Arabidopsis thaliana: one gene and its partners. The protein of the gene in region 4 interacts with the protein of the main gene of each other region in a pairwise test. Each region holds a gene or a part of one and is shown on either strand. Other genes may lie near its edges. The genes, in order: PERK4, BAM2, AT1G01230 and AT4G27610.

Evidence for each region.
Region 1: the proteins of AT4G27610 (region 4) and PERK4 interact in a protein complementation assay, tested with the Arabidopsis thaliana proteins (one large-scale study listed by BioGRID).
Region 2: the proteins of AT4G27610 (region 4) and BAM2 interact in a protein complementation assay, tested with the Arabidopsis thaliana proteins (one large-scale study listed by BioGRID).
Region 3: the proteins of AT4G27610 (region 4) and AT1G01230 interact in a protein complementation assay, tested with the Arabidopsis thaliana proteins (one large-scale study listed by BioGRID).

What each region holds. Positions count from the first base shown.
Region 1 is NC_003071.7:8,004,531-8,010,425, forward strand, and holds PERK4 (roline-rich extensin-like receptor kinase 4), read right to left. Parts: upstream 4,152-5,895; 5' UTR 3,744-4,151; intron 3,633-3,743; exon of another isoform or gene 3,617-3,632; 5' UTR 3,481-3,616; exon of another isoform or gene 3,310-3,480; 5' UTR 3,238-3,309; coding exon 2,673-3,237; intron 2,606-2,672; coding exon 2,060-2,605; intron 1,972-2,059; coding exon 1,885-1,971; intron 1,779-1,884; coding exon 1,708-1,778; intron 1,629-1,707; coding exon 1,552-1,628; intron 1,455-1,551; coding exon 1,310-1,454; coding exon of another isoform or gene 1,234-1,309; coding exon 1,072-1,233; intron 1,004-1,071; coding exon 755-1,003; 3' UTR 532-754; downstream 1-531. Other genes in the region: AT2G18465 (Chaperone DnaJ-domain superfamily protein), read right to left, coding at 69-212; AT2G18480 (Major facilitator superfamily protein), read right to left, coding at 5,052-5,895. UniProt on the Arabidopsis thaliana protein: Required during abscisic acid (ABA)-mediated activation of Ca(2+) channels. Regulates ABA signaling pathways. Modulates the expression of genes related to cell elongation and ABA signaling during root growth.
Region 2 is NC_003074.8:18,415,756-18,421,780, reverse strand, and holds BAM2 (Leucine-rich receptor-like protein kinase family protein), read right to left. Parts: upstream 4,214-6,025; 5' UTR 4,041-4,213; coding exon 1,454-4,040; intron 1,367-1,453; coding exon 945-1,366; 3' UTR 518-944; downstream 1-517. UniProt on the Arabidopsis thaliana protein: Necessary for male gametophyte development, as well as ovule specification and function. Involved in cell-cell communication process required during early anther development, and regulating cell division and differentiation to organize cell layers.
Region 3 is NC_003070.9:95,805-99,753, reverse strand, and holds AT1G01230 (ORMDL family protein), read right to left. Parts: upstream 2,343-3,949; 5' UTR 2,135-2,342; coding exon 1,949-2,134; intron 1,298-1,948; coding exon 1,149-1,297; intron 847-1,148; coding exon 708-846; 3' UTR 514-707; downstream 1-513. Other genes in the region: AT1G01225 (NC domain-containing protein-like protein), read right to left, coding at 2,512-3,200, 3,597-3,690.
Region 4 is NC_003075.7:13,784,879-13,790,121, forward strand, and holds AT4G27610 (intracellular protein transporter), read right to left. Parts: upstream 3,638-5,243; 5' UTR 3,206-3,637; exon of another isoform or gene 2,496-3,205; 5' UTR 2,455-2,495; coding exon 2,271-2,454; intron 2,184-2,270; coding exon 2,079-2,183; intron 1,486-2,078; coding exon 770-1,485; 3' UTR 535-769; downstream 1-534. Other genes in the region: NARA5 (pfkB-like carbohydrate kinase family protein), read right to left, coding at 1-127; AT4G27620 (intracellular protein transporter), read right to left, coding at 4,181-4,869.

The DNA of each region.
Region 1 (5,895 bases), on a different chromosome or scaffold from region 4:
TCAATACGTCTAATTACAGTGTACATAGATTCAATAAGGAAGCAAATCTTTATAGAGAATGATCTTACAGAACCAAATCTACTCCTCGATTTTTCAGACAGAACACTTGTCGAATGAAATGGAGCGAAACGAATTGCTTCTGTGACGTTTTGTGATGACAATTCTACAATCGAAGAACTCTTCAGCGACAAGAGACTTCTCAATCTAAACATAGTTGGATTCAACAGAAAAATGTAAACTTTCAATAAACAATTCAAAGGTTTTAAACTTTCATTTGGCGTGAAAAGAGAGATTTGAGGAAGAAATGGGAGAGACGACGGAGAAGAGGAAAGGTAGGCGTCACACGCGAGGGTTTTCTAACCGGACCGGTTTAATTGTGATTCGTTAAACAATCTGGTTTGAGTTCGGTTTGTTTAGGTTTAATTTTTGGTAGATTACGAAAACAGATGAAAAACAGAGCATGTAAAGAACAGCATAAAGCCAAAGTTGAAAAAGCTTGTCACTTTGATTATGAATGTAGACATGTAGTAGATACAATTCAAAATCAAACAATTTTAATTTCATGTTTGAGAATCGAATCAAATCTCAAGAATCATACACATACGTAACGATCTAAACATAACACAATTTAGTCGAAAAATATATGAAAAAAAAAACCAACCAATCAAGCAATGACAATGCTTTTGCTTAAAGCTTACATTGCTCTACTCTCAGAGCCCCAAAATCTCTTCTTTACAGAATCATTGATTCGATCTCATTTTGGAGGAGTAGGGCTCTTAGTTCCCATATCTCTAGAATCATTACTAGATGTTCCTTCACAGTCACTGACTGGGAATTCTTGGCTCGACAAAGCTATCTGTCTGAATTTCTTCATGTCTGCATTGTAAGATGTCTGACTATAATCCGAGCTTGCTCCCAATGACCCGTAAACGTTACTGTGTCCTGGCTTCACACCTTCGTTTAAAGCATCTAAGGACACTTCTCCTTCTAACGCTCTTACTATCTGAAAACCACAACATTTGTTTGTTATTCTCTGACAAAAATAGACTTTTAGTTATAATTTTGATTCACCTGGCTCATCTTTGGACGTTTACGCCCCGAATGACGAATGCTAGCAGCGGCACAAGTCACCATTCGAGCCATTTCTTGCGGGTTGTAGTTGCCTTCAAGCCTCGCATCTGCGAGCTCATTAAAGTTTCCATCTTCTAGCGCGCGAGCCATAAGAGGCCGAGCCTGTATTCATGATCATTAGTACGCGAAAAAGGCGAAAAACATATATACACGATACATATGTTACATGCATGAATACCCAATCTACTAAGGTGTCGTCCATGGTGATGCTATTATCAACCGGTCGTTTTCCAGTTATAAGTTCCAATAACATAACTCCGTAAGAGAAAACATCGGATTTCTCGGTTAATTTACCGCTTGAAGCATATTCTGGAGCTAGATATCTACACATGTTTGTGGAAAGAAGCAAAGTAGATTAGTCTACAAAGGTTATGTTTCTTGAGTGTCACGAACAATCTTATCATACGGTAAAACGCTTACCCGAAAGTTCCCATCACACGAGTAGATACATGAGTGTTGTTATCAGATGTTAACTTAGCTAATCCAAAATCAGCCACCTGAATAAACAAATGCAAAATGTCATCAATGTAGTCTTAACAAAAAACCGTAGATGAATGCAAGCTACTAGTTTATCACCATAGCATCAAAGTTGAAGTCCAAGAGAATATTTGCAGACTTGATGTCGCGGTGAATGATCCGAGGATGGCCTGCACCATTTTCTCAGCCAAAAAGATAACACTAGTCAGAGACAGAGCTTTCTCTGTTTTATGCAACTTGGTTAAGAAAATGAGAATGGTGAATGTTAAAACTTACAGTCTTCGTGAAGGTAAGCGAGTCCTTTCGCAGCACCTAAGGCGATACGCAACCTAGTGGAGAACTCCATTACCGGAAGATTTTTCCCTACAACAACAAATTAAGGTTACAACTTTCTTGAATATATAGATTAGAGAAAATAAACTTAGTACTCAAAGTTTTTAAGTGGTCTAACCATGAAGATGATATTCCAAAGTTTTGTTAGGAACAAACTCATAAACCAACATCCTCTGTCCATCAGCTATGCAATATCCAACCAAAGAAACAAGATACCGATGATGCACACGGCTAATGATATCGACCTCAGCTTGAAACTCCCTCTCTCCTTGTCCGCTACCCGCTTTTAAACTCTTAACTGCTACTTCTTTCCCGCTAGGCAAGACTCCTTTATGGACATACCCAAATCCTCCCTGTCCCAAAAGGTTAGCATCCGTAAACCCTCCTGTTGCAGCCGCAAGCTCTTGGTAAGTAAAAGTGCTCTTGTTGAATCCGAGGGCTAGAGCAGGCGAAGGAGGAGGTAAAACTGGGCGTGATGGGCCTGAGTACATGGAAGAATCTTCTCCGCTTGTAGGCATCCGCGGAGGAGGAGGCGGTGATGGTCCACCGCCTCCCCAACCACCAGTAGATTGTTGGTTTTGGCCTTGTGAATTTAGGTGCCAATTCGGATAATTCTGTGAAGCATTGTTGTTGTTGTTGTTTCCATAGTATTGATATTGGTTTCCTGAAATTTTATGAAAGAATCTAAGCTTCTTATTTGTTGAAACATAAGAGTGTGTATATGTTTTTACCTTTCATGGGTTCAGGGTAGAAGGAGTCTTTTCTCTTCTTTTTGCGTCTAAGACACACAATAATAAGAACGATCATCAAAAGTCCAGCTCCGACTAATACACCAACTATGATCGCTGTATTCGTATTACTTCTTCCACCTCCACCTCCTCCACTGCTTCCTCCGCTAGAAGGAGGGTTGTCTGAGCGAGAGCCTCCAGTGTCTCCTGGTGGCGATGATCTGCTACCACCATTATCTCCATTACTCCTAGAAGGAGGAGAAGGAGGAGAGCCGCGTGACGGTGGAGTATCATTGCCACCATTGTTTCCTCCATTTCCTCTTTCTCCTCCACCGCCCTGTGACGGAGGGGAAGGAGAGTTATTAGAGGAATTAGGAGGGTTAGGAGCTTGTGGAGCTGGTGGAGATGTGGAATCAGGAGGTGGCGATGATGATGAGTCTCCTTGAGGAGGTGTAGGAGAAGGAGGAGACGGAGCCGGCGGAGAAGAGGTGGTTGAATTGGTATTAGACGGTGGAGATGGAGAAGAGGTGGAGTTTGTTGGAGGAGCAGATTCAGGAGAAGAAGCCATCGGAGATCAAAATTTTCCGGTAACGAAAATAAAAACTCTCCGTCTCCTCTCTCCCTTAACCACTCAATTATTCTGAGAACAACAACAACAACACGTAGAAAAAACAGATCATAATCAAAATGGTGTTAACGTTGGAACAAGTTCTTGTCTTATTATGTTCGTTAGATCGTTAACAAAACAGGTAATGCTAAATATAAGAGATTAATACAAAATTAGTTAAGAGATTAGCATGAAAGTGTGTACCTTAGAGGAAGAGATTAAGGGGAGAGAGTTTTTGAACATTTGATCAGAAAATGATAATAGGAATAAGGTGAAAAAGGAAGATTGAGATTTGCTCTGTCTTCATTCCGAGAAACATGCCTCTTCTCTCTCTTTCTGTCTTAATAACAGTTTTGTGTTAGTTACTAATTGTAATAATCTCCGGTCTAATTTTTCTCTTTTTGGCTCCGTGATATTAGGAGCTAACGATTGTTGATTCATTTCCACGTAACCTCATGCATTATTACCTTAATTTGTCAGGAAAATCTCTGGTTTATTTTGGTCCGTCAAATCAAATCATTGCTCCTCAGGTCTTCCCATATGTGATATGTCTCCTTTTTCTTCAATATTGCTCTAGAGCAACATAATTTTTCTCACAATTAAAGGACTTCAATTGGGAACAAATGTCAAGGTTTTTTATTATTTAGACCTTTGAGCATGATCAAACTAATTTCTTCACGCACAAGTTCATCGATTTCTTTACGAATCTCAGGGTTCTCACCCCTCAAATATCAACTATGACTCTACTTCAGTATTGGTAATCCTCTCCTTTCCATCAATTAAACTAAGACTTAAAAACCATGAAGTGATCAATATGTTTTGTTTAAGCACTTTCTGATCTCTGGAAACATTAATATGCATACTCTAGAGTCTAGAATTAGATGTGTAGTTAAAAATCGAACAATTCTTGGTTCACCTTTTCATTCACCTCTTTCAGCCAATTAGAATATGTCACCTAATAAATAAATAAACTCATTTAATTATAAAATCTATAATCTTAACCACTATTTCATAAACTCAAACCGATATATAATTTTGTTTAATTACAAAATTTAAACTCTAATTCTATTTTGTAAATCCAAACCGACATTTAAACTCGATTAATTGTAAAATCTAAACTTAAATCGTTCTTTCTAAAACTCAAACCGACATTTAACCTCATCTAATTGTAAAATCCAAACCCGTTTATAACTCTAAACCGACATTTAACCTCGTTTGATTCTAAAATCTAAAATCGTTTATAAACCTAAACTGGTATTTAACTTCGTTTAATCATAAAATTTAAACTTTAACCCTCTCTTATAAATCCAAACCGATATATGATTTTGTTTTGGTGAACTATTAGATTTTATAATTAAATAATTGTTATTGTTTTTTATTAGGTTGTAGATTCTCATTAGCTACAGTAAAAAGGGATGAATATAAAAATCATACTTTGTCCTTTACAAAAAATCACACCTTATAATAGATATGCCAAATCATGTTGGATTTAAAAATTATTCTACATAGCCATGATAATCTAACCTAATTATTGACTCTCTAAGGGCATCTCCATCCATGAGAAACCCACAAAGTTTCTCAAACAAAAAAAAATTAATATTATATTATAATTTGAATTTTTGATTAAAAAAATATTTTTGTTAAAAAGTTGAACCAATAGTGAGAAGCGAATTGTCATGATGGGTTGTAGAGAGTATCTCAAAGTTTCTGAGAATCTTTCTACACTCTCTCTCCTTCATTTTTATTATTTTTATTTTTTTAATTGTGAGAAACTCTTATGAGAAACCCCCAATAGAGATGGTTTTAGTTTGAATCTCAAGTCCGTCACGATCACCACGAGGACCCCCACCACCAAAAAGCTTCTCCATCTCCTCCAATGGCAATCCTTTCGTCTCCGGCAACATAAAGAAGAAGAACCACCATGCCGCCACCGCTATTCCGGCGAATACGAAGAACACGCCCCCTGTCGTGATCGCCTTCGTCATCGACAGAAAACTCATTGAGACCGTCGCGTTCATGATCCTATTAACCGCAACACCTATACTCGCTCCCTGAGCCCTAAGTCTCAACGGGAATATCTCGGAGCTGTACACCCATGTGATAGGTCCAAGCCCTATGGAGAAAAAAGCTACAAATGCATACGTAGAGACGATGCTTAAACTCAATGCCCACGCTAACCGCCCAAATCGCTGAACCATCGTGAGACTAACCGCTAAACTGGTCAATGCGAAGACCATCCCACCCGTACTGGTCAACAGGAGCTTTCTACGACCTACCTTGTCGAGCAAGAAAGTGGCTATTATTATGAAAAAGGCCTTAGTTAAACCTACACCGACCGTGGCTAGTAAGAGCTTGTCTTTCGAAACAACTCCGGCTTTCTTGAAAATTCTCGGGCTGTACAACACGACGGCCTCAATCCCCGTCGCATGCTCGAAAAAGTGTATCCCAACGGCCGCTATCAAGATCAAACGCACCGCAGGTCGCGGTTTTATCACCAACTCCCTCCAAACACTTTTACCGTGATTCTTCTTCTTAACGCCGCCACCAACTTCTTTTATCTCTGTCACATCTACTTCCGCAGCGGTTAAGATGTCTCTGAACCGTTCTTCAGCTTCTTCT
Region 2 (6,025 bases), on a different chromosome or scaffold from region 4:
ATCGAAGAAAGTACTAGATACCAAGGATAGCAACAACACCTAAAGTCTAAAGATTTTTTGATATTGATGAGTCAAAATCAAAGTTGAATATATGGCTTGTAATTAATGAGAGGGAGATGTCATAAATGCTTCGTCTAAAATTAGATTTTTGCTTCAAGACAAGGGAATAGAGTGGAAAAAAGATCTTAGGACCATCTGAATTCATTAAGACACTAGTGTCACACTACCCATACATTTGCAATAATTGGACAAATTGTGAGTGAGCTTTCACTTTCTCTCTTCTCAGCGTTACTCATCTTCAGTCCCACACAAACACATTCATACCTTGGTTTCACCCTCTCTGTGTTTTTTTCACATGGAATGTCTTGTTGTGACACAACAGCTACCACAACCAGATACAATCCAAAAGGGTAAAAGCAAAGGTGAGAATAAAATATGTAATGTAACAACTCATAAGCAAGATTCCAGCATAATGGAGACACTAGTTTCATTTTAAGACAACGAAAACTCTAAAAAATTAGTTTTTGCTTGAGTATGAAACTAAATGAAGTTCTTAAGAATATAAGGGGCAAAAGTGTTTTTTGGTCTAACACAATTGACATACTTGAACCGGGGGCAGATTGATCATATACATAACTGCATGTATATATATGCTGATATGCATAAGCCATAATGTTCTCGAAATTCGATTTCCTGAAATTAACCACTTATCATGCAAAATTCAACCGCAATGTACATATTCAAAATTCCTACACGAATAATTGTGGCAGCAGTGAAAAAAGAAATGCAACAACCTTAAGAGTTAAACCACTAATTGTTGCCTTAACCGGAACCAGACAACAACGGGCTAATTAAGTAATTAACTCCACTACCGAGACGTCGGTGACAAGAAAATTAGAAAGACAAATTTGCCCCTCAATGACCAAACCCAATCGCCGGAAAGTCTAATTACTTAAAAGATCCGGTGGACTTCCTGAATCCGGCGACGATTCATTAATCGCCGGAGCTTTCTCAGTCACGTCTGATTCCGCCGCTTGCTGCTTCGAAAGAGGAATTTTTGGGATCTCAGTGAGAATCTGAACGACTTCACGCATCGTCGGCCTCTCCACCGCTTGTTCTTCAACGCAGAGCAACGCAACGTAGAAGACGTGTGTTACCTCGTGAACTGGAACTGAAGAGAGTCTAAGATCGATTACTTTGAGCACACAATCTTTATTTGAATCCGTCATGCTTCTCACCCATTGAACAATATCAACGCCGTCGCCAAATTCTCCGACGGGTTTTTTCCCGGTGATGAGTTCTAGAAGAACAACACCGAAACTATACACATCGCTCTTCTCATCTACCTTCAATGTATACGCGTACTCTGCTCAACAAGGAACAAACAAGTTCAGAGATTTTACATTTCACCACCAAGTGTTTGATTAAATGCCATTTTCTGCAAATTTGTTACCTGGAGCTATGTAGCCGTAGGAGCCGGCAATTGCGGACATACATTCAGAAGTACCGGAATCTTGGAGGAACTTGGCGAGACCAAAGTCGGCGACATGAGCTTCGAAGTTGGAATCGAGGAGGATGTTGTTGGATTTAACATCTCTATGGACGATCAACGGGGAACAATCATGGTGGAGATAGCAAAGACCCTTGGCTGCTTCAAGAGCTATCTTATAACGTGTGTTCCAATGTAAATGACCTCCTTTCTTTCCATGAAGAACCTCTCCAAGGCTACCATTAGGCATGTACTCGTACACAAGGAGATTCGTTTCGTGGTTGGAGCAAAAACCGAGCAGTCTCACGATGTGTCTGTGTCTGATTCTACCTAGCGTCTGAATCTCGGCGTTGAACCCGTGATCGTGGGAAGATCCATGGGACATTGTAGCCAATCGTTTGACCGCGACTAGGTCGCCTTTAGGCATAGTGCCTTTGTAGACAATCCCAGCACCGCCTTTACCGATGATGTTGTCTTCCTTGAGAGAGTCCAAGACATCGTCACAAGTGAAGTCTAGCCTCTGGAAAGCAGTCAATCTCCATGCCTTGGCTTCACTCGCATTTCGCAAGGACCGAGCTTTGATTATGGCCACTATAGCAAACACCATCGAACAAAAGAGCAATCCAAGGACGAGTAACAGTTTCGTAGTAGCAGATAAAGGTTTGACATGAGACTGGTGAGTTCCTTTGCCGCAAGGACCCAAATACGGACCACAAAGATGAGAGTTACCCACAAACGATGTGTAATTGAAGTAACTAAACTGTCCAGTGCTGGGAACTAAACCGGAGAGATTGTTGTAAGAGAAATCAACCGATGTCAAACTCTGCATTGATGCTATCGTCACAGGTATGGAACCAACGAGATGGTTTCTTGAAAGATTCAAGTAATTCAAGATCTTCATACCTGTGAGTTCATTAGGAATATCACCTGAGAGCTCATTACGGCTAAGATCAACAAACGTTAGCAGCTTACAACGACTGATCTCCGGTGCGATCCGACCGGAGAACAGATTGTGGCTAAAATCCAACTTAGATAGCTGCTGAAGCCTCCCAATCTCGGGAGGAATCGAACCAGAGAACTTGTTACCATCAAGAAGTAGTTTTTGAACACCGGACAAGTTTCCAATAGCTGCAGGTAATGAACCAGAGAGCTGGTTATTAGAAAGACTAATCTGACCAAGGTCACCAGAGACTCCTCCTCCGCTTATTGGCAACTCTCCGGTAAGGTAATTGTCTTGGAGCTCCACTTGAGATAATTTAGGTAACCCGAAGAGCTCCTTTGGAATCGACCCGTTAAGGAAATTCTCACCCATCCGGATCCGGGTCAGAGACTCACATTTACCAAGCGAATCCGGTATTGAACCAAACAAGAAGTTGCCAAGAGTGATTAACGTCATTAACCGGTTACCAGAACACATATTCGGCGGCAGAGTTCCGGTGAGTTTGTTCGAAGAGAGATCAAGAATCACTAATCTACCATTTTCCCCCAATTTCTGAGGAATACTACCAGTGAAATTGTTCTCCCAAAGCTGCAACACTTCAAGCTCCGGCATTTCACCGATGAACTCAGGTATAGCACCGTAGAGCTTATTCCTGAAGAGATTCAAAAGCGTTAAGTTCTTCAGCTGTGAAAAACTCGTCGGAATCTCGCCGGTAAACATATTGTTAGACAGATCCATCGATTTCAAGCTTGAAATCAATCCCAGCTCTTGAGTTATTGTCCCTGTAAATGCGTTTACTTGAAGAAACAACGTATCTAGCTTCTGAAGCTTCCCAATCTCCGGTGGAATCTCTCCGGTTAAACCACAATTAGCAGCGTCGAACCGAACAAGCTCTGATAAATTTCCAATCTCCGGTGGAAGACCATTTTCAAAAGCGTTGTAATATCCGATGTAAAGTTCACGAAGAGTCGTTAGGTTTCCGATCTCCGGAGGGATTTTACCGGTTAGCTCGTTACCGGAAACCGCTAAGTATTCGAGAACAGGCCAGGTTCCGTACGTCGCCGGGATTTTGCCGGAGAAGTAATTCCCACCGAGGTGAAGATGACGGAGCTGAGTGAGATTAGTGAGTGAAACCGGTAAATCTCCGGTTAAATTGTTGTTGTATAAGTCAAGAACACGGAGATTCACCAATCCAGAGGAGAGTTCATCGGGAAATGAACCGTTGAAGACATTATTGGAGAGATTGAGGTGACGAAGCTCATAGAGATTGGAGATTTGCGGCGGAATAGGACCTGAGATCTGATTAGCAGCGAGTGATAGATTCTGTAGCAGAGGTAAATGAGCTACGTCGGAGGAGAGAGTTCCGGAGAGGTTAAGACCTGAGAGGTCGAGAGAGGTCACGTGACGGAGAGAGACGTCGCACGTGACACCGGTCCATGAACAGAAAGTTGTTGAAAGGTTCCATGAGGTCAGGAGAGGTGAGTGTTCGTCGATGGTGAAGGAGGATTTGAGTGAGAGAAGAGCGTGGAGCTCGGTGATTGGTTTAGCGACGGTGAAGGAATGAGAAATGTGGAGGAGAAGGAGGAGGAGGAGGAGAAGAAGAAGCTTCATTTTTTTTTTGTTTTTTTTCTTCTCTTTCTGTGTAAGTTAGGGTTTGGTTTTAAAAAGGGTGAGAGTAAGTGAGGAAGATGAAGATTGTGTGTGTGTTTTTTATGAGTTTTATTTGTATATTGTAAAAGTATTATTTTTATTTTATTTTGGAATTTACTTGGAGGGAGATTTTTAAGAAACTTTGATTTCACATAAATTTTCTGAAAATAGAAAACACAAATTAAAAACTTGAAAAGTCGTTTATTTAACATATATAGAAACATATGCATGTGGTGGATTTAATGAAACATGGAATTAGAAAGGAAGGGATTCAAAAACGATAATTACATGAAGAAAATGTTAATTAATTTGGAGCCTTGTTGTTTTGAAACGTGATGTTACCTAATCTTGACAAAATCCAACACTTTATTACACAGGTATACAAGTGTAATAATGCAATACCAAAGCGAACCATAAATTCAAAAAGATGTTTTAAAGATAAACCCCATAATGAATTAATTGATGATGTTGAAATGAACGGTCCTGATGTTATAATTCGACGGGAAAAGATGGAGTCCACCACTGGGGATTCACAAACTTACCAAAACTTATTGAGACACCCGCTTCTTTAACCTCTCTTAAGCAAAACGAAACACTTAATTAACCAAAGAACCCCTTAAAAAGCTTTGTAATAACATTTCTATCCTTAGGACGGACCACAACAACAAGCCCCAAGGCAATGGCATGATCGACAAAACCCAGAGAGCCGGTCTCTGTACTCTGATCGACTGATAATGACGAGAACAACCTTGAGATGACGCACGGCAACAGTTAAGATCCTCGAGAGATGGGTAGGGATACGATCGTACTTTTGATTAGTGGAAGTAAGTCAGTTAAACACAGTCCTATGTGCATCATTTTCATCTTTTGCCAGTTACCACAGTTCACTGATCAACAATAATGGTTTCCCGACATGTATTTTATTTTATTTATACTGATTTTTTATTATCTCACAAAATTATCCAATTTGATTTTGTAAGAAAGTAGGATTTCGAATCATTTGCTTCTTTTGCCAGTTACCACAGTTCACTGATCAACAATAATGGTTTGCTCAGTGAACAAACATATTAGTTTTTTTTTTTTTAATCTTGTATTAAATATGGAATCAAAATGCAAAAGAAAAAAATGAATTTTTAATGATATAGATCTAAAGAAATACTGAATGTCAAAATTTTGAAAGCAGATTTTTAGTCACATGATTAGGGAAATATGTAGCCACTAGAATAAGTCGTACTCGTATTAGGTGAATTTTTGTTTTCTTCTTTATGGACCCGGATCAATAGAATAAGTTTTCATCTGCAACGCACTTTCTTGCACTAAATAATAAACTTATATTAGTGAAAAATTTATAATAATGAAAACATTTCTTGTTTAATGGTTTACTTCGAATGATAAGAATTGGTAAGCACGTGTTAGGAAATGTATACTTTTTTGGGGAAAATGTCGAAGATATACTTTTGGATGGGTGTGTGTGTATTGCAGATTCGTTTGTTGAAGCTTGATTTCGTATTTGGTACCAAATCGAATATATTTAACCTGACTAATAGATTATTATGATAGCACTAAACCTAACAATTATTGTTTGCTACTACAATCATAAAGAATTCAATTTATACTCTTTTTGAGAGTTTTTATGTTTAATCTTATTAGCATATCTCGAGAACTTTTACACAAAAGAACCAAAGCTGAATTTTGGTCTTTGTATCAATTGGGAGAGACACAAACATGACTGAGTCTTTAGGAACTGTTGCTTTCTCTTGAATCATGTAAACAGAAAGACACGCTGTAAAAGCAAACAGCCCACTGGTGTGTAGCTAAAAGACAGAACAAAGGTCACAAAGTCATCTTTTTGTTAAAAAATTTTGGTTTCGAAATTGAAAACAAAAAAAGAGAGAGTGGGTTCAAATTTTCAAGTGGTCCATTTCAAAATCTTGTAGGGTTTAAAA
Region 3 (3,949 bases), on a different chromosome or scaffold from region 4:
ATGGACCCTACTTTCGATTTAATGGATAAGATGTTTTTATTTATTTTCTTACATTGGACCACAATAAGAAAAAAAAAAAAAAAAATCATTAGTCTTATTCCAACTTTAATTAGTCATTCTTTCGTTTTGTCGGCTTTAATTTTGCAGGATATATCATGTTTTCGGGGTCCAATTAGCATTCTCTTTTTTTTTTTAATCACGTTAATTGATTACTTTTGTTAGCTTTATTCAATTTTGAAGAGGGATTAACTATTTTGTATACGTACACCATGATATAATATCCATCCAGGTGGACTTTAACTATGACACGTGTCATTAACCAGCTGTTAGAGATCTTGTAGGCAGCCACGTGTTCTTTAGATCCCACTGAATCATTACGCTCAATCGAAAACATTCTGGTGTTATGATAACTCATGAGTCACCACGACAGGAATCTTTGGGCCATTGTTAAATTCAATTATTGTTCAAGCCCATATTGCTATTAGGCCCATTATCTGAAGTGAAGTGGGGAGATGAAGGGAAAGCTTTTTCGTGTCTATTATAAAAGGTAAAAGATGAAAGCTTCAAAATTAGAGAGTTTACTTACAAATATCCAACAAAAAACATGACTCGAGAATTAAACCAACTCATATGAACATTTACACATATATATGTTCGCTTATATCCCCTTTTCCTTCTTTCAGGTGTTCTCTTGCCGTAAAGGAAACTTATTTATCACCATTGATACCAAAGATGCGTACCTTGTGCATGTTGGGGAACTTGGCAACAACGAGAACCATCACAGCGAGTGTGTTGAGGAACAGCCATGGATGTCTGTAATCTGTTGTATGCGATGCAATCAAGTACCTGTTTTAAATGTGTCGTTATAAAGTCAGAAAACAAGTACAAAAGCTAAAGAGCTCAATCTTAAAAGTTCATCCAGATAAATGCAGCTCTTGTTTATACACATTATCGCGTATACAGAGTTCTCTAGAACTAGTCCGTTACACATCACCGGATTTAGATATGTGTATTGAGAAATTAGCATATTTATTAACCATATGAGACACAAGGATATATGCAGCTAAAGAAAATAATTTGCTAAGAAAATATAGATTGGAAATAGACAAGAGTGGTGAGATTTTGAGGAACAAGGTGCTGGGACTTACAGAACAACAGGAACTAGGGTAAGAAATTTGCGGTTGCGGGTAAGCTGTTGACCATTGTCCATTTGTTCCCACCAAGTTAAACCATTGTAGATTCCTTGGTCATCTGCAAAAGGAGTTCCTTTCATCCAGTGGAAGCTGTGATACGTTACCTGACAACAAATATCCACAAATTTCTACTCAGACATCACATTTTCCTAAAGAGTAATTAGAAATTAGATTAAATTTGGTTTTGACAATCAAGCAATGCCAATTTACAAGTCACCGCATTATATCAAACAGTTAGACCTTAAGAAATTGCATTGATGCCATAGGTAGTTTTAGTTTCTGATATCAAAAACTGATAATTCATTAACGAGAAGGTGCATCTTAATTCGAAGCCTGATCCAAAACCGATCAATTCAAACTTAGAAGAGAATTGCATCTTACTTAAAAGCCTGATCAACTCAACAGTCAACACTGCTGATAGTATCCAAACAGATCAATTCAAAATCGCTGATACCAAAACTGATCAATTCATTGATAAGAAGGTAACTGTATCCTAATTCGAAGCCTGATCCAAGCTCAACGATATACGATAGCTAAAACTGATCAATCAGAAGGTAATTGCCTCTTCATTCGAACCCTAAACCAACTAAAAAATTGCTAATAACCAAAGAGATCAATTCAAACACTAGAGCCAGATTCACATCCAGATCTCAGGAAATAAAAAAAAAACAAGGAATCAATCCATCATCTAATTTAAAGTCACAACCCTAAGTGAAAAAATCATCTCTAAAGCATAAACACAATCGAAGACTTACAACGAAGTGAGCGAGATTAACAACAGTCCAAGCCATTCCAGGGGAACAACCAGAGACAGAGAGAACAACGAGCCAACCGAAGAAGAGAATAAGCATGTAAGTCGTCCAAACTCCTGGATACATGAACCATTCCGTATTCCTATTCATATCCGGTGGTGGAACCGCTTTCACATACAGATTCGCCATTTCTTCTTCAATCAGATCGGATCGGATCGAATCTCGTCTTCTTTTGATCAAAATCTTATATTAACACCTGAACTAAAAACCCAGATTCACAAAATTCTCTATTTCGGCGAGAACAAGGATTGTTTGTTTCTTTGGTTTAATTTTGTGTGCCCGTGAAAGACGACGACTGCTTTTTTGCATCTACACTGGGCATTAATTAATTATTGGGATATTTTTGACATTACCCAAACCAAAACGTCTGCGTTTTCATTTTGTACAGACAGAAAATAGGCCAACAAATGCAATAAAGGGAACATAAAACCAACATGAGGATTCTAACTGAAATGTTTTCTTATGTATATCGAAATTCGTGAACAAAGGTGATAGGTATCTGTTTGTCACCTAACATAGTCGGTATCAGAATCTTCTTCTTCGTCTTCTTCTTCTTCTTCACCTTGCTCAATGGTCTTTACGTCAAGGTTGAGAGCCAAATCCTCAACTGAGACCTTAATGACGTCGCTTCTAACACCAATATCGGTAGCATAGCGACTCATACAGTACATACCAGCAGTAACTGTTGCCACACCAATGGGACTTGGAATAAGCAATTTGAAAGGAGAAGAGAGGAGTGCAGCCAAAGGAGCACCAACAATTGAAGAAGCTTGACCGCTTCTCCCTACACCGAGCTTATCCATTATAAGCAAACCGGTCTTGCAATAGAGCGCGAAATCCTCACAGTTGTTCTTGAAAATGTCGTAGTTGCCAAATCCGTTTTGGAGAAGGTACATTGCCCTGTGGATGACTGAATCAGTTGTATCAGATTGCGCGGTTGTGCAAGTCCCTCCGCGGACTTTGGTTAGGAAAACCGATGGACTGACTCCATATTCGAAGCAGTAGAGTGAGCCGTTCTTGAGGAAACAGTCTAAGCAAGAAAGGACTACTCCACTGTCCGGTTGTCTGAAACCGCAATCAGGAAATATGGAACAGATATCTTCAGAGGAAGATGATGATATTGATGATGTTGATGAATCCATGGGGTTGTGTTCAGGTCTGAAATGAACAACTTTGGACCCACCGACAAAGATTCCTGCAAAAATCCACAATCAAATCAAAGCCCATGAAGGAATGTCTACAACAGTATCAATTCTTCATCACCAGAGGAAATTGGGATAAAAATATGTCAAATAAACAAAAATCATCTATAAAGTCCATCAGAGATCAGAAGATATGATGGAATAACATCAAAATACAGAGCCAGGGTGAAATTAGGTCATGCAAAGATTGGAATATAGACCATTGTCTTCAAGATCTATCTAGATAAAGTCGTCAACTTTGTGAATTTACAGTTTCAATAAGAAGATTAAACCGACCAGTAGAAACTAAAAGAAAAGACTTGCATTGAGGATAATTTCACTTTTTGATGTTATGATTGAATGAACGAGAAAGAAAGGAGCAAACTTGGGAAGAATGAATCTAAAGTTACCGTGGTGAGAATAAGCGAAGATTGCTCTGTAAGTATAGATGTGATCTCCTGGCTTTAGCTCTTCTCTCTCAATCTTGTTCGTAAGCAAACCCATTTTTCTTCTTCTCTCTCTCTCTGCACAAAGCTTTTTTTTACCTTGCTTGTGGAAAATGCAGGAAACGGCGTTACAAGTGTAAGCTCTAACGGTGGGATCTGACGTCAGCGAGATAGGTAAGGTAAAGTAACGTTTTTTGGAGTGGCATTATCTAATTCGATAAACGAACTAGAGAGAGCTGTTGAGCAAACCCGTTACAGAGTCTTTTAACGGCGTTATCTCCAAATCCAAATGCTACCAACGTACTGATTTTCCGGGG
Region 4 (5,243 bases):
TGGGGTGATATAAAGAGTAAAGACGGGAGAGAGAGGAGGAGGAAGCATTATTAGAAGCGGTAATGGCGGAGAGAGTGAAAAAAAGAGAGGCAGAGGTAGGAATTGGAGAGAGGAGGGAGAACGCCATGGAATTAGATAGTTTTGCTCTTTGAATGAAGAAAGCTCACATCTCCATTCAAAAGCGAGAGGAGCAAGGAAGACCAGCAAAACCCGAGAGACGGCCTCTGAGAGGATAAAGTATGACTTTGACTTTATATGTTTATTTATATAAATCTTATTAGGATAAAACTCTATTTCTTATTTATATTCAAACCCAAAATTTCAGAATAAGCATAATTGCTAACAATTTTATTTTAACTGTATCTTAAAAATAATAATGTATGTTGCGTCTATTTATAAATTTAAAATTTGTTTATACTATTTATCATTTGTGTTAAAATTGGCTAATTCTTCTAGTGAACACATCCTTATACGTGGCGTTTGTAATTATCGGGTTAGTTACCAATTACGGAGAATAAAAAAAAAAAAAAAGTAGAGAGCTATTCCCGCGGTAAATTCTTCAACAACTATCTATTTACCTTTACACCAAATGTTGAAAGAAAAAACAGAATCAAGACATTCAAAAACGAAAGCAGAAAGCCAGAAAGAACCTGAAAATCTTGATCTCCACCGTTCTTAGTACATACTAAGATTCATTTTCTCGAAAAAGGAAAAAGAACCGAAAAAAAAAATAAGAGACGCAAGTATGCACAATGCCTAACCTTTCCACCTACAATAAGTTTTGGAGCTGTGAGTCCAGTCTCTGCTGCAACTCTTTTACCTTCTGCGAAAGCTCAATCTTCTGCTCCTTATAGCTTCTAAGTAGATACTCTTTCCCATCTATCACTTCTTTAAGCTCACTCACTTCCTTTCTCAACATCTCTACTCTTTCTCCATCCCTTAGGCTCTTTTCTTGTGACTCATAATTGCTTTCGCTGTCCATAAACCCGCCATTCCAAGGTCCAACCGGAGATGTCTTGCCATTGCTGTCCGCGCCACATCCCACGCTGTGATCAGCAATTGCCTTTCTCAGTCTTTGAACTTCTCTTTCTGATTCAAACAGATCTCTGTTCAGTGTGTCTAGCTGTGCCTGGAGATGGCTTGAGTGTGCCGTCTGTGCGTTATACGAGTTTTGCAGCTCTAGAATCTGTTCTTGCATTTCCTGTATCATGTCATCCCGTCTCTTCAGCTGCTGCCTTAGTTTCTGTATTACTTCTCGTTTGCTGAAAATGTCTGAGCTGGTTTCAGATACGCAAGGAGAATCTGAGCAGTTTGAATTGTGATTGTATGGTCTTGGGGGAAGTTCCAGGCGATCAGGAGAAGTTGCCCACATGACTCCATTCTCTTTGCTCGATGGAGCAGGAACTGTCACAAGAGGCAGTGAAGTGTCAGATGCGGATATCATTTGCTCGCTTGTCACCTCTTTTCCTTCCACACTCTCAGTTCCTATAAAAATAAAGAAGCAAAGGCTGATAAGATCCATACACGACTGTTTGCTCTGGACTACATGAATATTAGGATTCAGAGATTTTCCAAAGAGAAAACATAACTCAGGTCTGGATCTAATAGTACAAAACTTGTAACTATGCTTAACGAGGTCTTGGTAGATAACAAAACTAGTAACTGTTTTTAGCATTCAGCCACTAGACACAGCCATCAATGGAGAAAACCTGCTTCCCTAGTTGCCAGCCCAATTGATGCAAATTAATGGTAATATGCCACAACGAAACAAGAGATATTCGATTCAACCAGTTATTGCAAGGTGGCAAATCTTGTAACTATTTTACTCATTCCATAACTTCGAATTGGATTCCCCTAGTTGACAAATACATCATGAGGTAAGATAACAGAGGCTAGAACTCTATAACAACATCTACACATTCTCCCAACTAGATTTTACTATATATCACACATCGTTTTAACTTCATGAAAGGAAACCCAGTAAGACATGATGCGAGACCAAGAAACAAGCATATAGCGTTTGTTTAGTAGATTGAACAAATATGTATGAGGCAAAACAGAAAGTTACAAAGTCACACCTGGAATGGAGCGGAAGCAACAAAAATCATTATTTTGTGTACAGGAAGATGTGGTAGAGTGTAAGCAACAGCTTGTAGATTTTTGCCTCTCAGATGTTCCATTAGCTGCACAAGAGGCTTTCATTTAGTGATAGAAAAAAACTAGAACCAAATTATAAAACATGTTAAGCAACACAGCGATAAAGTAAGTACGTTTTAATCCAGCAGAGCCATTTGATTGAGGTTTCGAATCAAGCGACTGCTTTAGCTTGTATCCAAAGCGAATGGACAATGTGCTCAACAATGCACCCCCTGCAATTAGTATCCAGTTTGGCCCTTCACCACAAAATTTATCACCTCGCTGATGCTTGGAAATGCCATTTCTTCGTGTACTCATTGTATGAGAAAGTCAAAATGTATCTATCATCCAAACATAACCTACATTGAACGGATACAAGAATCAATCATCATCAACGATCAGAATGAATTGGGCATATGTCAACAAGAAACCTGGTGTCAACTCAATAAAATCAACAAATATACAATTTTAAAATCATCAAATGCTTAATACCCAGAAAGATTCCAGAAACTAGAATATGAAAAGATAATGAGCACAAAGAATCACGTTTTGAGCATTACCTCAAACACAGTCAACCAGAGAAGGAAAAACAAAAAAAAGATCTAAAATGATAGTAACACTGAAAAGAGAAAGACAAAAAAAAAAATGGAAGATTCTCTAAGTCAAACATTCTCAGTTGAGAAAGTATACGACGAATCCATGGAATCATATAGGAGCACAGACTCTACCTCAAAAAAAGCAAATGCAAGAAAAATGGAGTTCCCTGAAAGAGTAATCGAAACGTTGATGCCATGGGATTTAGATTCTAAAACTACAAAAGCAAGAAGAAGAGATAGATACTTGCCTTGAACATGAAGCGAAATGAAAATAATAACAACCCTTATTTTTTTCGATAGGGGCCGTTAATCGATATCCCAACAACCCTTAATGAACACAACAATCGCAATCAGAAGGAGAATAAGGAATTACATAAATCCGAGCTCGAAAATAGATTTTCCGACGAATCAAAAATCAGTGAGCGAGCGAAGCACCCAAAAACAGGGAGAGTATAAAGGACTCTTTAAAAAACCTCATAGACAGCAGAAAATGGGCATTAGGGCTCCATAGTTTCCCTCCCGAGCCAGAAAATTTCTCCCGCTTGAGTTTCAATGTTTGATGGGTGGTCCTTGCAGCTTCGAGAATCGAAAAAAATCGCTGAGAGAGAAATACGATTCCGTGAAGAATCGCAGAGTCTCCGACGATGATATGACTGTAAAACCCCCGGGGAGGAGAGAGAGAAGCAAAGTGGAGGGGAAGAGGTTGAAGAGAGACGGCGCCTCACAGTTACAGCTCCGTTGTTGTTTTTTCCTTCCACTGTTAATTCATTTATTAAAATAAAATCACGCACGCGTCAACCACGTCCCATGGATGACGCTCACGGTGGTTAACAAACTCAGCTCATATGTTTTTTTCTTCTTTCTTTTCTTCTTTACGATTTCAATTTTTTAGTAATGAAATTTAATAGATAATTTGAGTATGAATGAACATTTGACATCTTTATCCATGTGTAAATGTTTGCACTTTCTGTTGATTATTTTTTTTTTTCTATTTTAAGTCACTACCAGCTAATGTGATGATACATTTTTCTTTTGTCTTCTTCACTATGTGACAACTACAAAATTAAATATTTGGTCCTTCCTTCTCTAACGATTTTCTTCCTTATGAATATCAAAACCTGACTGAAATAAGTGCCAAATTAAATTTTAGCAACCCTTCTTTCTCTTTCCTTAAGAACAAGTAACCAACTTTCTTGTAAAAAACTTCAACTGCAATTCTACAATTTAAGCCTTGAGACACGATATTGTATGAGTTTGCAACTTTCGAATATCCACTTCACCAAGAGAAAAAAACAATTTGGATAAAATCATAATTGACACCCAAAACAATGTAGTCAGTTGATAAGTTTCCCCGGAGAAATTGAGATATTTTTGAACAAAGATTCATATTTTTTACTCGGGGAAACAAAAGAGAGTGGTAAGAATGCACAATGCCTAACCTTCTTCACCTACAAAATGTTTGGGAGCTGCGAGTCCAGTCTCTGCTGCAACTCTTTTACCTTCTGCAAAAGCTCTGTTTTCTGCTCCTTATAGCTCCTAAGTAGATACTCTTTCCCATCTATCACTTCTTTAAGCTCACCCACTTCTTTTCTCAACATCTCTATTCTTTCTCCATCCCTTATTCCATTTTCTGGTGACTCGTAGTTGTTTTCGCTGTTCACATCGCCACTCCAACCATTGCTACCTGTGTGTCCCACGCAGTGATCAGCGATTGCCTTTCTCAGTCTCTGGACTTCTCTTTCTGATTCAAACAGGTCCCTGTTTGTTGCGTCTAGCTGTGTTTGGATATGGCTAGAGTGTCCCATCTGGGCGTTTAGCGAGTTTTGCAGCTCTAGAATCTGTTCCTGCATTTCAACTATCATGTCGTCACGTCTCTTCAGCTGTTGCCTCAGTTTCTGTATTACTTCTCGCTTGCTGAAGATGTCTGAGCCGGATTCAGATACGCAAGGAGAATCTGAGCAGGTCGAATGTTGATGGTATGCTTTCATCGGCACTTCCAGGTGGTCAGGAGAAGATCCCCATACGACTGCACTCTCTTTGCTATATGATGAAGCAGGAACTGTCACAAGAGGCAGAGAAGTACTGGACTCTGCCATTTGCTCATTTGTAGCATGATTTCCTTCCCCATTCTCAGTTCCTGCATAAATGAAAATAAGAAGCCAACTCTCAGAACACCCACACAAAACTTTTCTGCCATAACACAAGCCATCATTGGGGGATAATACTACAGCCTTCATAGTTTCCAGCTCATTAACGTAAGTAGCTACTTAAGTATGAATCCTGATTGGGGTACAAAGACATCTTTAGTCAAATATTGTTCCTGATTGGGTTACAAAGATCATTATGCAAGATACTAGAGGCTACAAATATGTAAGAACCATCTCCATATTCTTTCAACTATTTGACAACATCTCCCAAAATCTCTTTTCACTTCAAAGATACCACAAAATCAAACCCCAGTAAGAGACTATGTGAAGTGAAGTTATGTATAAGCAAATTCAGTAGTAAGAA